Macaca fascicularis: one gene and its partners. The protein of the gene in region 1 interacts with the protein of each later gene in a pairwise test. Links are inferred from orthologs where the notes say so. Each region holds a gene or a part of one and is shown on either strand. Other genes may lie near its edges.

Region 1 (4,838 bases):
TGTGAAATGCAGACAATAACCCTTCCCTGCCTGAAAGAGCACTTTTCTGGGGGAGCCCATGGGAGTCAGGAGCAAAAGCATCTGTCAAGTATATACCCAGAGAGTTACATGAAATCATTTCTGTGCCTTTGATAGATGCTTCTTGAACAAAGTTTCTGCCCTGAGCCCGCCTGACCCCTCAGGCTGGGCTCAGTGCCCTACCTTGTCTTCCCACCAGCCTCCTCCCTCCATCAGGCTCCTTTCCGTATCTGCTTGTGCCCCTGTTGTCCCTCAGTTTGTCCACCCTCTTCCAATCTCCCCCTCCCCAAACCCATGACTGGTCAGTGGCCCCCAGCCTAGGCTCCCGCCTCCACGCAGGTCTTGGCCCCTCAGCTGACCTCCCTCCAACCTCCCTCTCTGCTCTTACTTTTGAGTAGGTAGTGACTGTAAAAGTATCTCCGGGCTTCTAGGTCAAAAGGTCAGACTGAACACCTGCATCTCAGTGGGCTCAGAAATCCACTGAAACCAGAGGGGAGTATTTAAAACACATAAACCCACAAGTATGAGGATGGTGAAAGAGGAGTCAGGAGCAATGGCATGCCTAAGCTAGACATGGATGAGAGCTGTCACTACGTTAGGGAAGGCCAAATACTGCGTGGCGGCATGGGGAAGTGGAGAGAGTTCCCACCAGGCTGACTCCAGAACTGCAGAAGGCTGAGAACCAGCAGCCCAGAGACGGGAGACCTATAACAAAGCTGCCTGGGGAACAGCTACTGAAGAAGCCCTTAACGCCCCACTGCTCTCCCCACCTGGTGGAGGGTGAAAGTTTTTTTGTTTTCTGAGACTACGCATAGTCCCAGAAAAAAGACCTAAGCACCTCATCCCCAAAAACAACCTGAGGCCGCCTCTGGAAAGCTCCGAGTTCACAGGTCTTACCCACGCACATGCTCAGTGCTTCCAATCAGCGATTAAGGCCATTGCTTTTCATCCGGAGCAGGCAGCAGGGATTCCCAGGTATCCAAAGCAACCAAAACAGGCGGTGTAATTTAGGACTGAATAATTCATGGCTCGGCCACTTTAAGTGTGGAAGCAAAACTGACCCCACAGATACAGAAAACTAACACTGCTTATTGGGAGACACTAGTGTCACCCTGTCTAGTTCTGCTCCCCAAATTAAATAAAAGGGAAATAAACAGTTGAGCACGTCCCATCAGCCTGGAGGGAAACTTCCGCCCCCAACTTTGTAGGACTGACATCTGAAGACGTCAGAGACTGCGGTCACAACCGTCGGTACCTCCTCAGGGCGCTTAACAGGTCAAAGGCGGCCCTCGCACCCTCCCGCCGGGAGAAAGCCCAGGCTCAGGGTGGTCTTCCACACCACCGCCTCTCCCGGGACCACTTGGAAGCAAGCGCCAGCGAACTACTCGACCCAGGAAACCACTGGGCCGCCACTTCCAGCCTCTTCGGAAGTCGAGGCAACGCGCCTGAAGGTTGCCATGGGAACAGCTGGAGGCGGGCGGATATGCCCTGTTTTCTGGGGGCTGCCCGCGGGAAATGGCGTGGGAGCGGCGAGGGCCAAGCAAGCGCCCCCTCTGATTGGGTAAAACCTCCTGCCTCTCTCCTCACCTGCCAATAGGAACCGGTGCACTGTACAGACGCGCGGGTTTACAGCATGGGGAGAGCTGCTCCCAGGGCGGAGGGAGTCCACATAACGCGGTCTCTGCGGCACCTCCTAGAGGAACAGAGCGCCTCTCAGGCGTCAGCGGCTGCTGCAAATGCTAGTCCGCGGGCCACGGCCGCCCCTGTCTTGCGGACGCTCATGGGAAACGTAGTTCAAAGGGCGTGGGTGGTGCCTTCGGTGCAGGCGAGAGATTGGTCGGCGCGGCGTCGCCGGGGCAACTCCCGGCTAAGGCTCCCCGCGTTGCGCGGCGCCGCTTCCGGGAAGCGGCCTCCCAGCAACGGCTCCGGGGTAGAGGTGAGCGCAGGCTTCCAGAGGCGGCGCAGCCGTTCCACCCCGTGGGAGGGTTTGGGGCCGCCCTCGGGCCCGCACAGCTCCTGCTCTCGGCGCCCTGGGGGCCCGCCCACCTCCCGACAGGCCCCGCGCGTTGGCTCAGCCTTCACACGGGCCTTTCCTCCCCCTCAACACCGCTCCGGGGGGCCGGCCCGGGCACGTCCTCTTGGAACACCTCCCTCTTGCCTTCCCCTTTGGGAAACAGACCCCGAAGTTCGAGCATCCCTCGGATAGGCCGGGTATCAGGCCTGGTCTCTCAGGCCAGTCCAGGTGGGCGTGTTTCACTCCAGACCTTCAGGGCCGGGATGCTGTGGCCATCCCTCGACTCACGCAACGTGGAACGTTGGCCCCGTTTTTCTTGGCGTTTGCCTTTCGTTTTTACATGCACGGGTCCCGGCAGTGTGAGTCATCCACGGTTCGCTGTGGTCAGCGAGCACGGTGTCCACATCGGCCCTTGCCTTGCCCCATACGCCCCACGTGACCCCTCCCCAGAGCCAGTCCTAAGGGAGGTCCCACCCAGTCAACATCCCCGAGATTGTGGAGGGAGACTTGCCCCCATACTTTACAGCCTGGCTCCACCTTCTAGCCCCTGCCTCCCTGGACCACTCTCCTCCCACCTCGGCTAGGCACTGTCTGTGGCTCCTCAGCCTGGCCCTGGAACTCTGATGACTGTTCTTCTCCACCTCTTTACCGTCATCTTCCAGCAGTCACCTATTGGACCTGTTTGCAATTTCCGGGAAGCTCCTTGGACACCTTGCGTCCAAGCATTTGTCCCCGAGACTTCCTCCTGCCCTCATTTGCCATCATTGTTTAGCTCCCGTGACCCTCCTCCTTCCATGACGCTTTCTTGGCTTTACCTCCTCTGGCCTCAGAGTACACTTGGTCCTGGTCTCAGCTCCCTGGGCGGGGCCTGGTGTCTGCCTTTCCCTGGCCAGATTCTCTTGGCTGACATTCTGACCCTTCCTTTTCTTTAGGCCCATCTTGACGATTCCAAGACCACCCCCTTGAGCAAAAATGCCATCCCCTCTGGGTCCCCCATGCCTGCCCCTCATGGACCCAGAGACTGCCCTCGAGGAGCCTGAGACTGCCCGCCTCCGCTTCCGAGGGTTCCGCTACCAGGAGGTGGCAGGTCCCCGAGAAGCCCTGGCCCGGCTGCGTGAGCTGTGTCGCCAGTGGCTGCAGCCTGAGGCACACTCCAAGGAGCAGATGCTGGAGATGCTGGTGCTGGAGCAGTTTCTGGGCACACTGCCTCCCGAGATCCAGGCCTGGGTGCGCGGTCAGCGGCCAGGCAGTCCTGAGGAGGCCGCTGCCCTAGTCGAAGGACTACAGCATGACCCTGGGCAACTGTTGGGCTGGGTGAGTGTGGCTGGCATCAGCTTCTTGGAGGGATAGACCCTGGCTAGAACCCTTTTGACTTATTTCTTCTCCTCAGATCACAGCCCACATCCTGAAGCAGGAGGTGCTCCCTGCAGCTCAGAAAACAGAGGAACCATTGGGGAGCCCCCACCCCTCAGGGACAGTGGAGTCCCCTGGAGAGGGTCCCCAGGACACCAGAATAGAGGGGTCTGTCCAGCTCAGCTGCAGTGTGAAGGAGGAGCCCAATGTCGATGGACAGGAAATGGGTGAGATTGGGGTCCACCCGGGATGGAAGGTTCCTGGAGGAAGCGTGGACACTCCTGGCTAGGGTGGGAGTCCCAGGAGAGGTTGTGTCAAGGCCGGGACTCCTGAAATGAATGTGGATGTCCCTGTCTGGGATGGGGCCCTGGGAGGCAGGAGCCAAGGGCTGGCTACGTGCCATGTCACACAGCAGAGGATTTCCTTGTCTGCCATGGCTCATGTGGGCAGCCCCTGACACCACCTTTCCATCTGCCCCACTTTTCAGCACCCTCCAGCCCTCCACTTGCAGTGCAGTCCCCTGAGGGGCACCATGGACACCAAGCAGCAGCCTCCACATCCTTCCACCCTCCCAGGATTCAGGTGAGCGCTCCAGGTGGGAAGCGTAGGCCCCAGGTGTGGGAAGGGAGTGTCCCCATGGCTGCCCTCTGCCTGGTGGTTTTCCAGGCTCCTTGGCTAGTGACTCTTTGCTGCCCAGAAGTGGAGTAACAGCTGTACCCCTCCACAGGCCCTGGGGCAGAGGGACAGACTGGTGATCTATTATTGAAAAGGATTTGAGGCTGGACATGGTGGCTCACACCTGTAATCTTAGCACTTTGGGAGGCCGAGGTGGGTGGATCACCTGAGGTCAGGAGTTTGAGGCCAGCCTGGCCAACATGGTGAAACCTCATCTCTACTAAAAATACAAAAATTAGCCAGAAGTGGTGGCAGGCGCCTGTAATCCCAGCTTCTAGGGAAGATGAGGCAGAACAATCGCTTGAACCCAGGAGGCAGAGATTGCAGTGAGCCGAGATTGCACCACTGCGCTCCAGCCTGGGCAACAAGAGCAAAACTGTGTGTCAAAAACAAAAAAAAAAAAGGATTTGGGCCTCAAGCCATGAAAATGCAGTTTAGAGTGGCTGGAACTGGTGGGCTTGGCTTCCTCACCTCCGGAGAAATCAGGTGGGAGGTTTGCTGCTCCCAGAGGTCCTGAGCCAGAACCTGGGGATTTGAACGTTTGCGTGTAGCTGGGGAGGGGACAAGATGACCAGCTGTGGCAGGACTCCCCCACACCTGAGACCAGATGGAGACACTCTTCCTGGGACATGCCCAAAGTCCCTTCTCTCCCAGGGGTTTCCTCAGAGGCCACCTGTTGGCCCTGGAAGCTCAGCTTGAGGCCCCTGCTACCTGGATCACTTGGTTCCCAAGTGTGGGCAGCAAGGCCTTTTCCTCTCCCAGCTCCTCTGCTTCTAAC
Region 2 (4,908 bases), on another chromosome or scaffold:
ATTTCAAGATAAATTATTAGACATAAAATGGAGGCCTTTAATTAGGAGAGTGAAGTGGTTTGATTTGTAATTTTAAATAATCGCATCAGCACCAGTTTTATGGTATAAAATGCCCAGTTACTCGGGAGGCTGAGGTGGGAGGATCACCGAGTCCGGGAGGTCGAAGCCACAGTAAGCCAAAATTGCACCATTGCCCTACATCCTGGGTGACAGAAACAAACAGAATATAATCACAGGAAAAGGTTTTGTAAAACTTTGCAACATTTTTAACTTCCCCAAGGTTTCGTTTGAGATTTTTGTTTTCCAACACTAATTAGATGTAAAAACTCATAAAACAAAAATGACTTCAGCTAGCCTTTATGAATCAGAAAAGAGGGAAAAGTTGGGAAGAGCAGCCAAGCTGCTTGGGGGCCGTATCCAAGTAGCAGAGTGAAAAGGCTGGATTTCTGAAGCTTCCTGCAATGAAGAGAGAAGTGTTAGCACGGGTTGTGAGAAAGGCTCTGGTCGGAGTGAAAAGCAATGGTATACCATCAGCTGCTGGCTTACTTGCTGTCTTCATGCACGAACCCAGCAGAGCCTGACGGCACTTTGCAGAGGGCATTTTCCCGAATGAGGCAAAAAGTCAAAGCCTGAGGAACTTGAAATGCTTATGTTAGGTTGGATCTACACTTTTGACCAGTCCTTAAACAACAGGGCTCCTTTGTGTGGTGTCTGATGCCAATCATGTGACCTAACTAAAGGCAGCGATGTAACCATCCCACAATTCATTTATTTATTCAACAAACATTTATTGTGTTCTCTATTTACCAGGCAGTCAGCTTCCGGGGTCTAGGCTGGGATGCTGTGGTGAACAAGACAGTCAAGGTCCCTGCCCTTAAGGGACTTAAAGGCAAAACAAAACAAAAAACAAGTAAATAAATGAGATCACTTCCATTAATAATAGTGCCATGAAGGGTCATGTGTCATGAAAGGCTGGCGGTGAGGCTGAGGATCTTGGGCCACACGGAGCTGAAGAGCTGAGGTGACTGGGGGCGCCAGGGTCTGGGGGTGCGGGCAGGCAACAGACCATGGGGGACTTACAAGACATTATAAGGAGTTTTTATGTCATAAATTATTATGGCATAAATTGGAGGGCTTTAAATAGGGGAGTGAAGTGGTCTGATTTGTAATAAATGATTGCGTCAGCAGCTGTTTTATGGTATAAAATGCCCAGCTTGAAGATGACCATGCATTCTACAAATTCACCGTGACATCGTTGCCAAAACCCTTAACCTGTCTCATCTAGTTTTCCTGACAAATAGGTCAGAATAAAGCTCCGTGACATAACTAGTGGGAGCCAAAGATTTGAATCACGTCTTGGTTTCAAATCTTGCTACCCACAAATGAGTTGTGAGCTCTTGTCAAGTTACTTACTGTATTTGTGCCTCAACTATCTCAGCTGTGAAATGGGGATAATGAAAGTTCCTACATCATTTATTTGTGAAAAAATAAATGACATGTAAAGCACGACGAGAGCGCCTGGCACAATGTAGTAAGCTTTCACAAATACTCGCTTTTATTCCTTCTTGCAGGGAATTACTTAGAGGATCCACAAGATAATGCACGTGAAAGGGCTTGCGAAACTGTAAGGACTATCTTAATGGTAGAGTCCTCTACTTTTCTTTTAAACGGTCCAGAGGACGCTAGGCTGTTCGAGGCGCGAGGCCAAGCGCAGCCTCAATGCGGTCATTGTCGTGGGGCCGCCCCTCCCCCGCCCGGGGAGCTTCTCCATGGCAACGTGGGCTTTACCTCTCCCCGCCTCCTCAGGCCCGCAGACCGGAAGCAGCCCGTGCCGGGGGCTTCTGGGAAAAGGCTTGTGAACGGTGTTTCTGCGTCTGCCGTGGACAGCGAAGCTGCTGCGGTTCCTGAGCCAGAGGTTTGCGCCGGTGTGCGGGGAACGTTATGGGAGGGAGGGGGACACCGGGCTAGGGTCTGCGGACCTCTTAGCAGGAGTCGGCGGGGAAGCCTTCCCGGGACCTTCCTCAGCTTCCCGGGAGGCGCGGGGAATAGGCCGCGCTCTCCGCGCCTAGCAGTTGTGGGGCGGGGAGAGGTAGGCGGCAGGCTTGCTTGGGTCTTCGGCGTCTGCAGAGTGCTCTCTAACCCCCGGTGTCCTCCGAGACCCTCACCTTCCCCCTCCCCCACCGGCCGGTTTTGTTCTATTTCGAGGCCCTGGCGTCTCGCGGAGGGTTCTGGGAGTCGTGTTGGGAGGAGGTGGTATGGGGCGAGACTTGCGCGGGGCTGTTGGGATTTGTAGTCCCACCGGCCGCAGGCGGAAGTGCCGTGGTTCCGACGCTGTTGTCACAGGGTGGTCTTTGGTCATGTGAAATCCGCTGTCCTGAGTGCTGGGAAGAGGGGCTAGAGGACTGGCCGGGATCGGGGTACACAGCAGGTCTATGCAGCAGTAAGGTGGGCGATCACCTGGAACGAGGTGCTCTGACCAAACATTGTCGGGACCGTTGGCCTTCCCTCCATTTCCCACAAGCAGTATGCTCTACAGCATGAAAGGAAGAGAAATATATGTAGAAATAGTTGCACCGTTGATAAGCAGGGTCTTGGAATAGGCACAAATCAATGTTGGCTAGACCTTATTTATAAGGCCACCACACTCCAGGGTATTTAATTAAACCAGTATGTATTACTTGTCTGATAAGGCCTTTTCTGATTCCAGTCTTCATCTTGCTTGGGTTACGATAAGTTTTTTTAAGTTGTTGTTCATAGGCTGCATGGCTCATTGCTAGTATGTGTCGTAAACAACAGCACGGGCATGATAGTGCAAATAATAAAGGTCCAGAAACAGCATACAGTTTCCCTGAAGGTAGAACTGGGGAAACTGTGAGTCATCCAGTGTAAGGACAAGACACTGGACCACTGCAAGAAGTTAAGGTGCTAATGCGAGTGCCTTTTCTTAATAGAATTTTCTGTGATTAATGCCTATCATTATAAATATAAATGTACGTATGGTGTGGTGGAAGACTGAATATTTACGTATTATGTGCAAGATAATTTTTCAAAATATGTGATCTGTTTTTCACATATGATCTTTTCAATATTATGTGATCTGTTACTCAGCAAGTGAACATTTTTTCCACATATATTTTAAGTCCAAGGAGTTCTTAAATACCTTATTTTTTAAGTGGTAAAATTTTTTTAAGCACATAATAATAAAGCAAACCTTCGTTTTGGTTGAAACAGGGTTTCACTATGTTGGCCAGGATAGTCTCGATCTCTTGACCTCGTGATCCGTCCGCCTCAGCCTCCCAAAGTGCTGGGATTACAGGTGTGAGCCACTGCGCCAGGCCCAGCTTTTTGCTATTTTTAAATTCATTTTTTAGAGACAGGGTCTCACTCTGTTGCCCAGGCTGGAATGCAGTGGTGCGATCATAGCTCAGTGGAGCCTTGAACTCCTGGTCTTTAGTGATCCTCCTGCCTCAGCCTCCTATAGTGCTGGGATTACAGATGTGAACCACTGCACCTAGCCAGTTTTTATTTTTTTTTCCTTTTGGAACTTTTTTTGTTAAAAACTAAGACAAACACATGCATTAGCTTAGGCTTACACAGGGTCTGGATTATCAATATCATTGCCTTCTGCCTCCCTATCTTGTCCCACTGGAAGGTTTTCAGTAGCAGTAACGTGCATGGAGCTGTCATCTCTGTGATAACAGTGCCTTCTATAATAGCTCCTGAAGGACCTGCCTGAGGCCATTTTGCAGTTAACTTTTTTTTTAATAAGTAGAAGGAGCACACTCTAAAATGTATAGTATGAAAAGTATAGTAAATACATAAACAAGTAACATAGTCGTTTATTGTTGTTATCAAGTTTTATGTACCATACATAACTGTATGTGTTAAACTGGCAACACAACAGGTTTGTTTACACCACCATCACCACAAACATGTGAATAATGCATTAACCTTACAACAGCTACAGTGTCACTAGGTGAATCTTGAATTGTTCAGCTCCATTATAATCTTATGAGAGCACTGTCATCTATGTGGTCCTTCATTGACCGGTCCTTCATTGACCCAAACATCATTTTTTTGTTTGTTTTTTTTTTTTTTTGAGACTGAGTCTCACTCTGTCGCCCAGGCTGGAGTGCTGTGGCCGGATCTCAGCTCACTGCAAGCTCCGCCTCCCGGGTTCCCGCCATTCTCCTGCCTCAGCCTCCCAAGTAGCTGGGACTACAGGGGCCCGCCACCTCGCCCGGCTAGTTTTTTGTATTTTTTAGTAAAGACGGAGTTTCACCGTGTTAGCCAGGATGGCCTCGATCTCCTGACCTTGTGATCCGCCCGTCTCGGCCTCTCAAAGTGCTGGGATTACAGGCTTGAGCCACCGCGCCCGGCCTCCAAACATCATTTTGTAGTGCATGACTGTGTTGGGTTTTTTTTAGGCCATCTAGTCTGTTGAAACTACTCAACTCTGCTATTGTAGCGTGAAGTATGAGTAAGTACAATTTTTTATGGACACATTCATGTTAATTTCGTATCATTTTCACTTGTCATGAGGTATTCATTTGACTTTGGGGAGCTCCATTCCCTAAATATCATTAGGTATTCATTTGATTTTAGAGAGCTCCATTCCCTAAGGCACTGTGGTGAAGACCACAGCCATTTAAAAATGTGAAAATTATTATTGGTGCAAGAGTTGTACAGCAATGGGTGACAGGCTAGATTTGGCCGCGAAGCTGTAGTTTGCCAATTCCTAGTGTAGGTTATTGACTGGAATTTTTAACTCCATCAAAGAACAAGTATCTTTTACTTTTACCAGTGTAAGTCCAAATTCTTAGGATATTTTTGCTTATTTATATATCTTTTATTTCTTGTGCCTCAGGAGTGCCTGTGAAGAAAACGGGGTATTGCCCTGAGGCTTAT
Region 3 (4,778 bases), on another chromosome or scaffold:
GCTGGCTTGGTGCTCTGCTTGGGAGCCCCAGGCACTGTGCCAGGGCTATGGGCTGGGCATCCTGGCTCTTTGCAAGGTCGCTGTGGGGCTCTACCGGCAGCTGCTCCTGCTCCTGGTCCAGAGGGCTGTCCCCATCATCAATCACCACAGGGTCTTCACAGTGCTTGAGCTGCAATCCCAGAGAAAGCTTTTCAGAGCTAGGCAAAGAGGTCCCATCTCTCCCTGGGCCTGGTGACCATCCACTCCACAGCTGCCCACCAAAGGCTCCACTTAGGCCTTGGACTGGGCCGTAAAGGGGCATGACACCATCATGCCCAAATTAGAGGCTTCAGGGAGTAAAACTGGCTTTCTCAGGAAACTCTAGTCTGGTCCTAACCAAAGTACACGGCTCTCAGTGGAATTCCTCATTCCCCGGCCAGTGCATGCATGGCCCAGTCAAAATGTCTAAGCACCAGATCTCTACCCGTCCAGCCCCACCCCTTCTACTCACCCACTGCCAGGGTCTCCCGGGCTCCCGTTCCAGTGCCTCCACCGCGGCCACAGCCTGCTCTCCGCTCTCAGGCTCCTGCGCCCGCACCCAGCTCTGGATCTCCCGGGGCAGGATGGCCAGGAACTGCTCTAGCACCAGCAGCTCCAGAATCTGCTCCTTGGTGTGCCTCTCAGGCCGCAGCCAGCCCCGGCACAGGTCCCAGAGGCGTTGCAGGGCCTCCCGGGGGCCCGCCGCCTCCTGGTAGCGGAAACGGCGGAAGAGGCGCCGAGAGGACTCGGGACTGGGAAGCTCCCCTTGGGGGCTAGGGTTCTCTCCAGGTGGGCTCCTCATTTTCCTGGGCTCCTCACTTTCCTTCGGAGCCAAGACTCGGGGGCACAGGGCTGTGGGCATGATGGGATTTGATGGGGGTCAGCAGCAGAAGACGACCCTATTTCCAAACAGAAATCACTGGCTTCAGTGTTCTGGTCTCCTGTGGTCATTTCTGGGGGACAGTGACAAGGAAACTGTCAATGCCCTCAGAGACCAGCCCTTTGGAGAAGCCCTGGGAAAGGTAGGGAGTGTCGGTGTGGCTGGTCTTTACACACAGAATGAAACAGACAAAAAGATACCCTCCCCCCATCAGTACCATTACGTGTGGACTCCCGTAAGCGGGTGACTGGATGAACAAGGCAGGAAATCTGGGAGAAAGTGGTGGCATTTCAACGTGACACTGGTGTTTTGAGCATCCCAGGAAACCAACAGCGCCACATGCAGATGTAATCAAGACTCTCTGGTACCTTAAGCGGCTGGGTCCTCCGGGAGACCCGAGATGGGCAGGCCAAGCAGGCCACTATATTGAAGCTCCGCAGCCGAAGTCACTGTTCTTGTTCTCAAGACCTTTACAAATAGAGCTGGAAAGACAAAGACAGACATGCATCGGATGAGCCTTCCAGCACATCCAGGAATGGAAAATCCATCCTGCTGGTGGCAGAGGGCTGATGGTGCTCAGTGCTGGATGGACAACCCAGCCAGAATCAGCTTTGCCCAACAGAGTCTGCAACGGGAGGCAGGGAAAATACCCAGACACAGGGAACATCACATGAGACAGCCACATGCAGTCCACGGGGGACAAATAACACTGCATTTAGAAATATCAGTGGTTTCCTATGAACCTTCTGCCAACACTTGCCTGACGTTCAACCTCGCCTCCACCCTCTTGTCTATCCTTGACCTCTTCAAACCACATTCAAGGCAACGGCACACCCGCGAAAGCCGTTCCTCGGCCAGGACAGGAGAGTGGGTCCGTCACGGCACAGCTCAGCCCTCAAAGAACCCCTGGACACTGCAGCTGCCACACCCTCAAGGTGGGCCTCAGGGGTCCCTCCACCTCCCCGCTGGTGTGCAGACAACTAGCCGACACATACAGGGTGGCAAAAGAGACCAGCAACCAGTATACCTGGCTGGTGTTCATGACTCCCACCCTAGAACACTGACCCGTGAAAGGGCACATGGGGACACTCACGGTGCCCTTCTCTGCCATCAGGCCTCTGTGATCCTTAGGACCGGCAGTGCCTGCCACTCCTCCATCTGCAGGAGGTTGTCCAGCGTGGCCGCGCCTTATCCTCCAACAGCTCACAAGGGGGACTCGGGCCTCACTCCCATTTCACAGGAAGACAAGTGATGCCAGAAAAGCTACGAAACAACTCAGTGGTTCCAGAAACACCCACTGCTCTGAATCTCCTTGCTTTCCAAAGTAACAACACATACAGAAACGCATATGGGGGCCGTGGAGGCGTCGGGCTGGACGCATTACAGGGCTCCCCACCACCGGATTCCCTTCCAGGGCGGCTCCGGCATCTGGAGCCCGGGGTGGGCCCCGCCCGCCCTGCTCGGCGGCCCCCTGCGGCGCCCATCACACACCTGCAGCGCCCAGGACTACTCAGGTCCGCCCCCCCGGAGCACCGGCGCCCACCCGGGCTGCCACTCGGATCGTCTCCAACCAGACGGCCCCGTCCGTCTTTGTCACGGCGGCACCTGGCGCGTCGGAGGCTCGGAGGAGACGCCTGATGAATGAACTAACGTGAGTGAGGCGGAGGAGGGCCCCGCAGGGGCGGAGCGAGCTCCCAGCCGTTCGCGGAGGAGGGACCGAGCCGGATCGGCAGAAGGGGAAGGAGAAGGTCGCTGCGGGCCAGGGAAGGGGGAGCGCGCCCTCCGCGCCCTCGGTCTCCCTCACACGCGCGTCTCCCGTCTCGCCGGCTCCGGGGCTCCTCACCTCACAGCCCGGAGCTCCCTCCCGGCGTCCGGCCGAAAGCCCTCCTGTGGCGGCGGAAGTCCAGGGCAGCCGTCCTCATCCTCCCGGCCCGCCCGGCCGGGCGTACTCGCTGAGGCGGCGTCTCCGCAGGCGCCCGGCTCCTTTCCCGGCCCGTCCAGACCGCGTCTCCCGATCATCCGGAACGCCACGGCTCGGCTCGGGGGCAAATGGAGGCGCCTGAAAAACAATGGTGTTGCTTTCTCCCCCGCCCGCACCTTCCTGAGCGCTGGGCTCTGGGCCGGGAGGCGGCGCCGCGGAGGCCGGGCGCGGGCCGAGGAGGGCGGGGCGGGGCCGGCCGCGGGAGCCGGGGTGCACTCACCGCCGCGACTCGTCCCTGTTGGCGGGCGGCGCAGGCCTGGCCACTGCCGGAGCCCGCCGGACGCCGAGGAAAGGAAAGGCCGGAGCCCTCCGGCTCCCTCCCCTGGGACACTTCCTGCTCCGCTCTAGGACCGGGGAGGTCTCCGCATCTCAGTGGTTCGCTCCCCCGCCCCCCGGCCGAGGTGTGCGCTGGGGGTGACATCCGACACCCCCGGCCCGCCCAGCTCCGCGCGCGCCTGGGCCTGGCCGCCGGGCCGGGGGCTTTGTGGGTCAGCCACGTCGCCGCGCCCGGTCCTCCCCGCGGGCCCGCCGGTCCGGAAAGTCAGCCCGGGGCTCTTTTCTCCGCTGTTCTCCTTCTCCGGCGCCCCCAGGACACGCGGGCCGGTGGACGCCCGGAACGGCCGACCGGGAGGCGCGGCTGGGATGGAAGCTGGAATTGGGGGTGCGGGATGGAGCGGAGGGAGGAGGCCCCGCGCGCCGTCGGCCGCCTCATTTCAGACGCCCCCTGCGAGCCCCCGCCAGCCGAATTCCGGGCCGCCCAGCCCCTCCCGTCGCTGCGGGACGCCAAAGGTAGCGCTCGCACCCGCGCCTTCCGGGCCTGGCGCCCACGTGCGGAGTCCCCGCGTTAGGAAAGGCCGCGCAGCCGGAGGCCACTCCGAGCCTCGGGACGACCCTGAGGGATGCGCAGGGGGTCTGCCGTGAGTCCTGGCCCTGAGTGGGGGTCACGGGGCTCGCAGAAGTGAACACGGTTACCGCTGTGCGCAGTGGCGGAGGGAGAGGATGAGGGACTCTGACCCAAGGTCATGTGGCAGTGAGGGGCAAGCAGGAATGAGGGCCTCCGGACCCCACCCTGAGACAGGGCTGCTGGCTGCTACACTGTGCTGAATATAGCCCAAATTCTGACATGGGTCGTCCCCGGGGAGTGGTCATTTTTCAGGCTCCAGAGCTTGAGAGAAAGTGTGAACCCGGTCCCTGGGCAGGCCTGATTCCCATGGCCCCTTCTCCATCTGCTCTGCACCGAAATTGGATTCTCCCACGCAGAAGGGGAGAAGGTTCTCCATCTTCCAGAGGGTAGCTACTGCCCGTTGCTCCGATTTCCTTAGGATCCCCTTTCAAGGGCAAGCAGAAGGAAATCGGTTTCCCCAGAGAAAGTGGCCCGGCTGAGTAAGTGGGGACAAGGTGGTTGGACTGAGGCACAGGATCCTTTAGCTCTGTTACTCTTCTAATCCCGTGGCCCTGGGCACCACCACTTCCTCCTCTGAACTGCTGGAATAATCACTTCTGAGTAGCAGAGTTACTGGGAGCCGCTGTTTGTCAATGTTCACATTCTGACTTTAGCAGGAGATGGACCAAGCGAAGGAGTGAAGCCCTTGTTTGTGAACAGTGATTGTTTCCCAGATGACAGCCAGATGCCCGGCAGGGCCACACAGATTTTAGCTGGAGCCTACAGGTGCAAGGAGGAGCCACCCCCTTTGACTTAACTGGACTGACATTTACAGGACTCATGTACAGCCTGCTCTCAGGAACACCAGCCAGGAACTGTGACATGGAGGAGAGGAAGTGGGAAGGCTGGTAGGGCTTAGGTGCTTTGGCAAACATCCTAGTCTGTGGGGTTCCAGAGCCCTGGTGCCACAGCTCCCAACCCTGTGACTGGCCCAGGAACTGGCTGTTGAGTGGGCA
Region 4 (3,043 bases), on another chromosome or scaffold:
GCCAGATGGCATGAGATTTCATCATACTAGTCAGAATGGTGCCAAATTTAAAACTTAAGAATTGTTTGTGCCAGGCGCGGTGGCTCACGCCTGTAGTGCCAGCACTTTGGGAGGCCAAGGCAGATGGATCATGAGGCCAGGAGTTCAAGACCAGCCTGGCCAGCATGGTGAAATCTCATCTCTACTAAAAATACAAAAAAAAAAATTAGCCGGGCATGGTGGCATGTGCCTGTATTCCCAGCTACTCAGGAGGCTGAGGCAGGAGAATCGCTTGAACCCAGGAAGCGGAGGTTGCAGTGAGCCAAGATCACACCACTGCACTGCAGCCTGGGCGACAGTGAGGCTTCATCTCAAAAAAAAAAAAAAAAAAAAAAAGAATTGTTTGCTTCTGGAATCTTCCATTTAGTATATGTGAACTGTGGTTGACTGTGGGTAGCTGAAACTTTGTAGGGTAAAACCACAGATAAGTGGGGACTACTGTGCTGCCTGAAGCACCTAGAATAGTAGAAGTTTAATACTTGTTCTGAAAATGAATGAATGAATACATTAAGTAACTTTCCTTGGAAAGGGTCACTTTGAGGTTATCTCAGAAAGGAGAGAGAGGTCTAAGGGAAGACTCCAGAGAAGCCACCCTGATCTTTACCCATCCCTCCCCATGAAAAAGTATAAAAAAATACTGCCAACTGGGTGCAGTGGCTCATGCCTTTAATTCCAGCATTTTGGGAGGCCGAGGTGGGTGGACCACCTGAGGTCAGGAGTTCGAGACCAGGATATCCAACATGGCAAAACCCCGTCTATACTAAAAGTACAAAATTAGTTGGGCATGGGGGTGCGTGCCTGTAGTTTCAACTACTTGGGAGGCTGAGGCAGGAGAATCACTTGAACCCGGGAAGTGGAGGCCACAGTGAGCTGAGATCACACCATTGCACTCCAGCCTGGGCTCCACAGCAACACTCTGTCTCAAAAAAACAAAACAAAACAAAAAAACAACTCCCCAGTTGAAGTCTACGTGGGGATGGACTGACCTGCATTTTGCCAAAGAGGGCAAACTTTCCTCCTTACCTAGGGGAAGGTGTTACCACACTAGCCCTTCTGTTTCTAGCCCACTTGCTTTCGTTTGATATATTTTTATAGACATAGTCACCTTCCCATATGCTCAGGGAACAAGTGACATTTACCTAGACTTTTTCTTTGTTTCAGATGAAATAACCAAGACTGAGGACATACAGTTGGTGCTAAGGAAAGACTGTCCTAAGATAGTGGAACCACATGGGAAAATGTTTAATGAGCAGACCTGGGAGCTATCACAGCAGGATCCCCCACATAGAGAAGTTGGTGAACATACGGACAGGATAGAGAGGCAGTGGGGAAACCTCTTAGGAGAGGGGCAACACAAATGTGATGAATGTGGGAAGAGCTTTACTCAGAGCTCAGGTCTCATTCGACATCAAAGAATTCACACTGGAGAAAGACCTTATGAATGTAATGAGTGTGGGAAAGCCTTCAGTCGAAGTTCTGGTCTTTTTAATCACCGAGGAATCCACAATATACAGAAACGGTATCACTGTAAGGAGTGTGGGAAGGCCTTCAGTCAGAGTGCAGGTCTTATCCAGCATCAGAGAATCCACAAAGGAGAAAAGCCGTATCAGTGCAGCCAGTGCAGTAAGAGCTACAGTCGGCGTTCATTTCTCATTGAACATCAGAGAAGCCACACAGGGGAGCGACCTCACCAGTGCATTGAATGTGGGAAAAGCTTTAATCGACACTGCAACCTCATTCGCCATCAGAAGATCCACACACTGGCTGAGCTGGTCTAGGGCTTGCTATGAGCAAGTTTTCCAGATCACCAGCCAAGTCATGTGGGGTAGCTTGAGGTTAGAAAATGCCTCTCTCTTCCTTTCTCCATTAAGTGTGTTTGAAACAAATAATGACTTACGGCCCAGGGACTTCCTAAAAGGAAAGTTGGGTGTTTGAAGCTACTGTTTTCCCTTTTGTTCATTTTACCTCTTTCTTATTCTTACTAATTGTGTCCCTCTTATTTATTATTTATTTATTTATTTATTTATTTTTTGAGACGGCTGCTAAACCCTTCTAATAATATAATAAATGGCACTGCTAGAGCCAGCATGCCTGAAAGATTTGGTGTCTGTGTTTAACTACAAAGGATAACAGAGTTATACTGATGGTTTATAACAATTGGGTCTTTGGTGTTCCCCGTGACCAGGGTCTACACTATAAACACCTTTTCCACCTTACTGCTTCTCTCTGATACCTATGTGACTCTCCCTTGGAAAGTGACCAGCATGGGCTGTGTGTTTCAGTGTCTGCAGTGTGTGTCCACTTACTTAACCATAGTTGGTCCTCACAACAGCCATACAGGGAAATGAGCGTTATCATTATCCCATTTTACAGGTGAGGACTCTAAGGCTCAGAAAATCCAGGCATCAGAGCCAAGGCTGAAACCCTGAACTTTTGTTTTTAGTAATGCTTTAATTTTGGAATAATTTTAGACTTACAGAAATGTTGCAAAGATAGAGTTCTCATATTCCCTTCACCTAGATTCCCCTAACGTTAACTTAAAACATCGCATCTTTTTAGTTAAACCTTGTCTTTTAACTCCAAATCTCAATTTCTTTACGAAGTCATGCTTCATACTGATATCAGATTTCTACATTTTAGTCACCTGGAACTCCCTCAGAGTTTTTCTATCACAACTTCAGTGTTAGAAAGTGATCTGTATCCTGAGTACCAGGCCACATCAGAGAACTGGATTAATGCAGATAAGATGCTAGCTACTGTCCGAAATGTCCTCAGTCTTTCTCTTCTGTTTGCTTGGCTTAGGTCTAGAGAAAAAAATTTCTTCCCTGTGTAGATCTTTAAGAAAATCGATTGTACGTGAGGCGTGGTGGTACAAGCCTATAATCCCAGAGCTTTCGGAGGCCAAGGCAGCAGTATTGCTTGAGGCCAGGAGTTCGAGACCAGTCTATGCAACATAGTGAGACCCTGTTTCTACAAAAAAAAAATTTTTAATTGGCTGGGTGTG
Region 5 (4,959 bases), on another chromosome or scaffold:
CCATTGTAGTTTCATTGCCCTAAAAATCCTCTCTGTCTTACCTATTATGCATCCCTCCCTTTCTCCAGTCCCTAGCAACCACTGACCTTTCTACAGTCTTTATAGTGTTGCCTTTTCCAGGATGTCATGTATACAGGTGGAGTACCCCAATCTGAAAATCCAAAACACATTACAATGTGAAACTTTTCAGCACCAATATGATGCCACAAGTGCAAAATTTCACACCTGACCTCATGTGACAGGTCATAGACAAAATGCAGTCAAAACTGTTTCGGCCAGGCACAGCGGCTCAAGCCCGTAATTCCAGCACTTTGGGAGGCCAAGGCTCCTCACCTGAGGTCAGGTGTTTGAGACTAGCCTGGCCAACATGGCTAAACCCCATCTTTGCTAAAAATATAAAAATTAGCCGGGTGTGGTGGCACGCACCCGTAGTCCCAGCTGCTCGGGAGGCTGAGGCACGAGAATTGCTTGAACCCCGGAGGCGGAGATTGCGGTGAGTCAAAATTGTGCCTCTGCACTCCAGTCTGGGCAACAGAGCAAGACTCAATCTCAAAAAAAAGACTTTGTTTCATGTACAGAATTATTTAAACTGTATAAAATTAGCTCTATGTGAGTAAGGTATATATGAAACAAATGAATTTCATGTTTAGACTTGGGCCTCATCCCTAAGATATTTCATAATGTATGTATATATTCCAAAATCTGAAATTGGAAACACTTCTGGCCCCAAGCATTTCAGATAAGGGATACTCAACTTGTTGTTGAAATCGTACAATATGTAGCTTTTCAGATTGGATTCTTTCACTTTCTAGTATGCACTAAAATTTTCTCCATGTCTTTTCATGCCTCGATAGCTCATTTTTTTCATTTTTTTCTTGTTTTCTTTTTCTTTTTTCTTGTTTTCTTATAAACAGATGTTTATAGCAGCTTTATTCATAATTGCCAAAACTCAGTGGGTAAATGAATAAATAATGGGTCTGTTTTTAAAAGAGTGTTTTATATTTTTACTATTGAACATCTTTTCACATGTTAATTTGTCACTTACCTTGTTTTGTGTATAGTAACATTCATATCCTTTACTGATTTTTCTACTAAAGTCTCCTTTTACTCTTAAACAGAAGTGCCCTTAAAAATCAAATAGGGAACTTGCATATCAACATTTTAAATGCATATGTCCTTTGGCTGATCAGTTCTAATATGTGGCATTTATCCTAGAAATACATTCTTAAAAGAATGTAAAGGTATTGAATGATGTTCCCTCTAGCATGGCTTTTAAAGAAAAAATATAACCTAAGTATGCATCAATAGGATAGTTAAGTAAATTATGGAACACCCATACAATATTACTTAGCTGTTAAAGAATAAGCTGATCTGTGAAGATCTCCAAGCTGTCTTAACCGAAAAGAGCTAAGGTGCAAAATTACATTATGATACCATAAGTGTTTTTAAATGTATAAATGCTTATTCACTAAACAAAATGTTTATTACATGCTACTGTGTGACAGGTAGTGTCCTAGATAAATATGCACAAAATACAATGGTTAACTCTAAAGAGTGGGACATTTTTCGTTTTATGGTCCTTCTGCAACTTGACTTTTTTATTGTACGTATATTATGTATACTTAAAATAATTTGTACAGCTTACTATAATGGTCTTTTAATTGATCTGTTTCGCCTCCTAACCAGTGATGACCCCGAAGACAGACATTTACCACTCTGTTGGTTTTTTATTGAAATGATGTACATAAATGTGGGGCGTGCTTGCACCGTCCGGATGGGCCTGAGGTCCGGCAGCGGAGAGCGACCTGGGCGGGGCGGGAGGTGGCAGTGGGGGTCCTCCCGGATCACCAGAGAGACGAGCGGCCGTGCTCCTAGAGAGGCAAGGAACCCGCCAGACTCCGCCACTCGGCTGCGGGCGCGGCGAGTGGAGAAGCTTTTGTGCTGGCCCAGCTGCCGGAGGCGCCGGCGACACCCATCAGCCCCGCCAGCCCGCCAGTAGCACGGCTTGGGCTCTGGGGAAACCGGCGCTCTCGACTGGGCAGCCCCGGGCCTCTGCGCTCCCTCGGGAGCCTTTCACGAGGTCGGCTACGTCTTTGTTGTGCGCGTTCCTGAACTTTTGGTCCATTAACCAACAATTAGACACGCAGGTATTCAGTGCCTGGCGCGGTGCTAGATGCTGGGTGTAATCTCAGAAAAATACATTCTGGGGTGCGCCTGAGGGTGCTGGCTGCTGGCATCTCAGGTGCTTTACGTGCATTCGTGAAGAAGTCCATCAGTATTTGTTGAATACCAGGTACGTGCCGGGCTTGTAGAGTCTATGCAGAGATAAACTCCTGTCCTCAAGAACCCGGGTGGGGATGGGCTGGGTGATCTGTAATACGAGATGGAGGAGATGAAGGTTGGGAGCAGTTTTCCATGGGAACACCCATCTCTATCTGTGTGGCTTACTTTTCCTGTCTATATGTTAGGGTTAGGGGTGGCCAGGGAAGGTTTCACATAGAACATTTGCGCTGGCCCTTGGGATTTTACCCTTAGAAGGGGGGTCCTGACTGTATAGAGTGGGTGGAAAAAAAATTGAGTACTTAGCATGGCAGTGAGATAAGGAATTTGGGAAGACCATGGCTTTCTTGAAAGTAGGAACTAAGTCTTTTATTCCAGAGTTAGCTTTATGCCTGGAAAACAATGAGATGCTCCACAAATGTTTATTGAGTGACAAACAAATCAGCAAAATCCAGTAAAGATTAGATCCTGGAGAGTTTGAGTTTACTTCAACGAGTTTAATGAAAACTTTGTATGTGTTTATGTGTGTGTAAGGTATGTTGAATATGGTCAGAATTGTGCTTTAGGGAATATTAATCCAGTGACCATAGAAGCGGGGAATTGGGCAGGAATACCATAACATTATTGTGACAGTGAATGAAAATGATAGTAAAATAATAAGGAAAGAATGGCTGCAAGAGGCATTTTTAAGAATTGACTTGATTCACTGATTGTATATAGAGGCTGTTTAAAAGACTGAATGCATGGAAGATGATGGTGATGCCAGTAGAAATGGAGAAATACGGAGTGAATGCAGCTTTGAGGAACTCTGATCTTAGTTTGAGATCTGTTGAAATTATAGTGCAGGAGAAGCCCACAGCTGCTGGCATTTCAAGATGTGGGTTTGGAGTGCAAAAAGCAAGCTGGAGCCAAAGATTTGAGTCTTCTTGGGAACAGAGATATATTGAAAGTGTGACTAAGGAGATCACAAAGGAAAAAATGAAGAGAGGGAAGAAAAGAACTTGATGCATTTCTACTGTTTCAGTTATGTGTTGTTGCATCAAAAATCAAACTCTAAACTTAGTGGCTGAAAACAAGCTCAGCTTATTGTTCCTCAGGATTCTGCAGGTTGACTGGGTAGTTCTACTGGTCTCACCTGGAGTTACTAATAGAGCTGCATTCCGCTGGTGAATTATTTGAGCACTAGGCCCGGCTGGGTTTTAGCTTGGTCATTTTGGTTCTCATCCACATGACCTCTGTCTAGCTAGCTTGGGCCTCTCACAGCATGGCAGTCTTATGGCAGTGAACCAAGAGCTACAGCAGCACTCTCTCTCTTACAATGTCATTTCTGCCGTATTCCATTGGTCAAAGCAAGTCATAGGCCAGAACAGATTCAAGGGAAGGAAAAATAGACTCCACCCCTTGATGAGAACAGTGGCAAAATCTCATCACAAAAGGTATTTGAGGATGGGAGACTTTGGAAGCAGTCTATTACACCTACATTTAAAGCGGAATATTCAGTGAGAGTTACACAGATATAGATGACCTTTGAGACTGTATTATTTGCCCATGAAGGCAGCCATCTGCCTCCTCAATGGGTAAAATGATCCCTTCTCCCCAGCTAAAGTGCAAGCTTCTTGAGCATTCTTATTGCTAACGCTTCTTCCCTCATATCCTACATCCCTTACCTCTGGACTCAGACCCTTTAGTACTAGTTCAAAACATACTTCTGATTCATTTCACTGAGAAATAGAAGGAAGCAGGCTCAGCTTTTGAGCACTACCTACAGTGGGTACAAAAATATAAGTAGATTACATACAGTTTTGAAGGTCTTAGAATTTGTGTGTTGCTGATCAATTCTTATGCCTCAGATCTCTATTTCTGAACACAGACCCCCAAGCTAAGTGAAGCTTTAGCCTCTAAACTCAACATGTATGAAGCTTTGCCAGGCCCTGCTCCTGAAAATGAAGATGGCCTTGTGAAAGTGAAGGAGGAAGATCCCACCTGGGAGCAGGTGTGCAACTCACAGGAGAGCAGCTCCTACACTCAGGAGATTTACCGCCTGCGCTTTCGGCAGTTCTGCTACCAGGAGGCTCATGGACCCCGGGAAGCTCTGGCCCAACTCCGAGAACTTTGTCATCAATGGCTGAGACCCGAGATGCACACCAAGGAACAGATAATGGAACTGCTGGTGCTGGAGCAGTTCCTGACCATCCTGCCCAAGGAGCTCCAGCCCTGTGTGAAGACATATCTTCTGGAGAGTGGAGAGGAGGCAGTGACCGTGCTGGAGAATCTGGAGACAGGAAGTGGAGACACAGGACAACAGGTGGGAAGAAAATGTGTGTGGTGGTGCGGGAGAAGAACAGGGGGACATGTATCAGTTGATGTTTAGCTTTTTATTTTGAAATAACTTCTAATTTATAGAAGTATTAGAAGAATAAAGAACTCCTGTAAACTTCATCCAGATTTGCCAGTTAACATCTGTTTCATGAAGTCCCATTGTTGTGTACACACTTGTGCAAGGAAGTGCATCTCCCCCAATATGCATATGTACATGTATACACGCACATACATACATACACACATACAGTATTTTTTTTTTCCTCAAACCATTTGAGAGTTAGTTGCAAACACTATATCCCTTTACCTCACTGTTGCCCAGGCTGGAGTGCAGTGGTACAATCATAGCCTCATTGCGGT

The links.
Region 2: the proteins of ZNF446 (region 1) and ZNF24 interact in binary tests that used the Homo sapiens proteins (3 or more experiments, as listed by UniProt). The link is inferred for Macaca fascicularis from reciprocal best matches to the Homo sapiens genes ZNF446 and ZNF24.
Region 3: the proteins of ZNF446 (region 1) and ZNF496 interact in binary tests that used the Homo sapiens proteins (3 or more experiments, as listed by UniProt). The two-hybrid records come from large-scale screens. The link is inferred for Macaca fascicularis from reciprocal best matches to the Homo sapiens genes ZNF446 and ZNF496.
Region 4: the proteins of ZNF446 (region 1) and ZSCAN9 interact in binary tests that used the Homo sapiens proteins (3 or more experiments, as listed by UniProt). The link is inferred for Macaca fascicularis from reciprocal best matches to the Homo sapiens genes ZNF446 and ZSCAN9.
Region 5: the proteins of ZNF446 (region 1) and PGBD1 interact in binary tests that used the Homo sapiens proteins (3 or more experiments, as listed by UniProt). The two-hybrid records come from large-scale screens. The link is inferred for Macaca fascicularis from reciprocal best matches to the Homo sapiens genes ZNF446 and PGBD1.

Annotation. Positions count from the first base shown.
Region 1 is NC_088393.1:66,203,970-66,208,807, forward strand, and holds the start of ZNF446 (zinc finger protein 446), read left to right. Parts: upstream 1-1,508; 5' UTR 1,509-1,579; exon of another isoform or gene 1,580-2,964; 5' UTR 2,965-3,004; coding exon 3,005-3,346; exon of another isoform or gene 3,347-3,422; coding exon 3,423-3,612; exon of another isoform or gene 3,613-3,872; coding exon 3,873-3,967; exon of another isoform or gene 3,968-4,838. UniProt on the Homo sapiens protein: May be involved in transcriptional regulation.
Region 2 is NC_088392.1:54,500,417-54,505,324, forward strand, and holds the start of ZNF24 (zinc finger protein 24), read left to right. Parts: upstream 1-1,828; 5' UTR 1,829-1,925; exon of another isoform or gene 1,926-2,530; intron 2,531-3,817; exon of another isoform or gene 3,818-4,867; 5' UTR 4,868-4,908. UniProt on the Homo sapiens protein: Transcription factor required for myelination of differentiated oligodendrocytes. Required for the conversion of oligodendrocytes from the premyelinating to the myelinating state.
Region 3 is NC_088375.1:1,752,742-1,757,519, reverse strand, and holds the start of ZNF496 (zinc finger protein 496), read right to left. Parts: upstream 3,181-4,778; 5' UTR 3,100-3,180; intron 2,958-3,099; 5' UTR 2,742-2,957; intron 1,381-2,741; 5' UTR 1,267-1,380; intron 918-1,266; 5' UTR 881-917; coding exon 491-880; intron 170-490; coding exon 1-169. UniProt on the Homo sapiens protein: DNA-binding transcription factor that can both act as an activator and a repressor.
Region 4 is NC_088378.1:144,968,065-144,971,107, reverse strand, and holds the end of ZSCAN9 (zinc finger and SCAN domain-containing protein 9), read left to right. Parts: intron 1-1,200; coding exon 1,201-1,817; 3' UTR 1,818-2,136; downstream 2,137-3,043. UniProt on the Homo sapiens protein: May be involved in transcriptional regulation.
Region 5 is NC_088378.1:144,899,108-144,904,066, reverse strand, and holds the start of PGBD1 (piggyBac transposable element-derived protein 1), read left to right. Parts: upstream 1-1,873; 5' UTR 1,874-2,293; intron 2,294-4,130; exon of another isoform or gene 4,131-4,150; 5' UTR 4,151-4,189; coding exon 4,190-4,585; intron 4,586-4,959.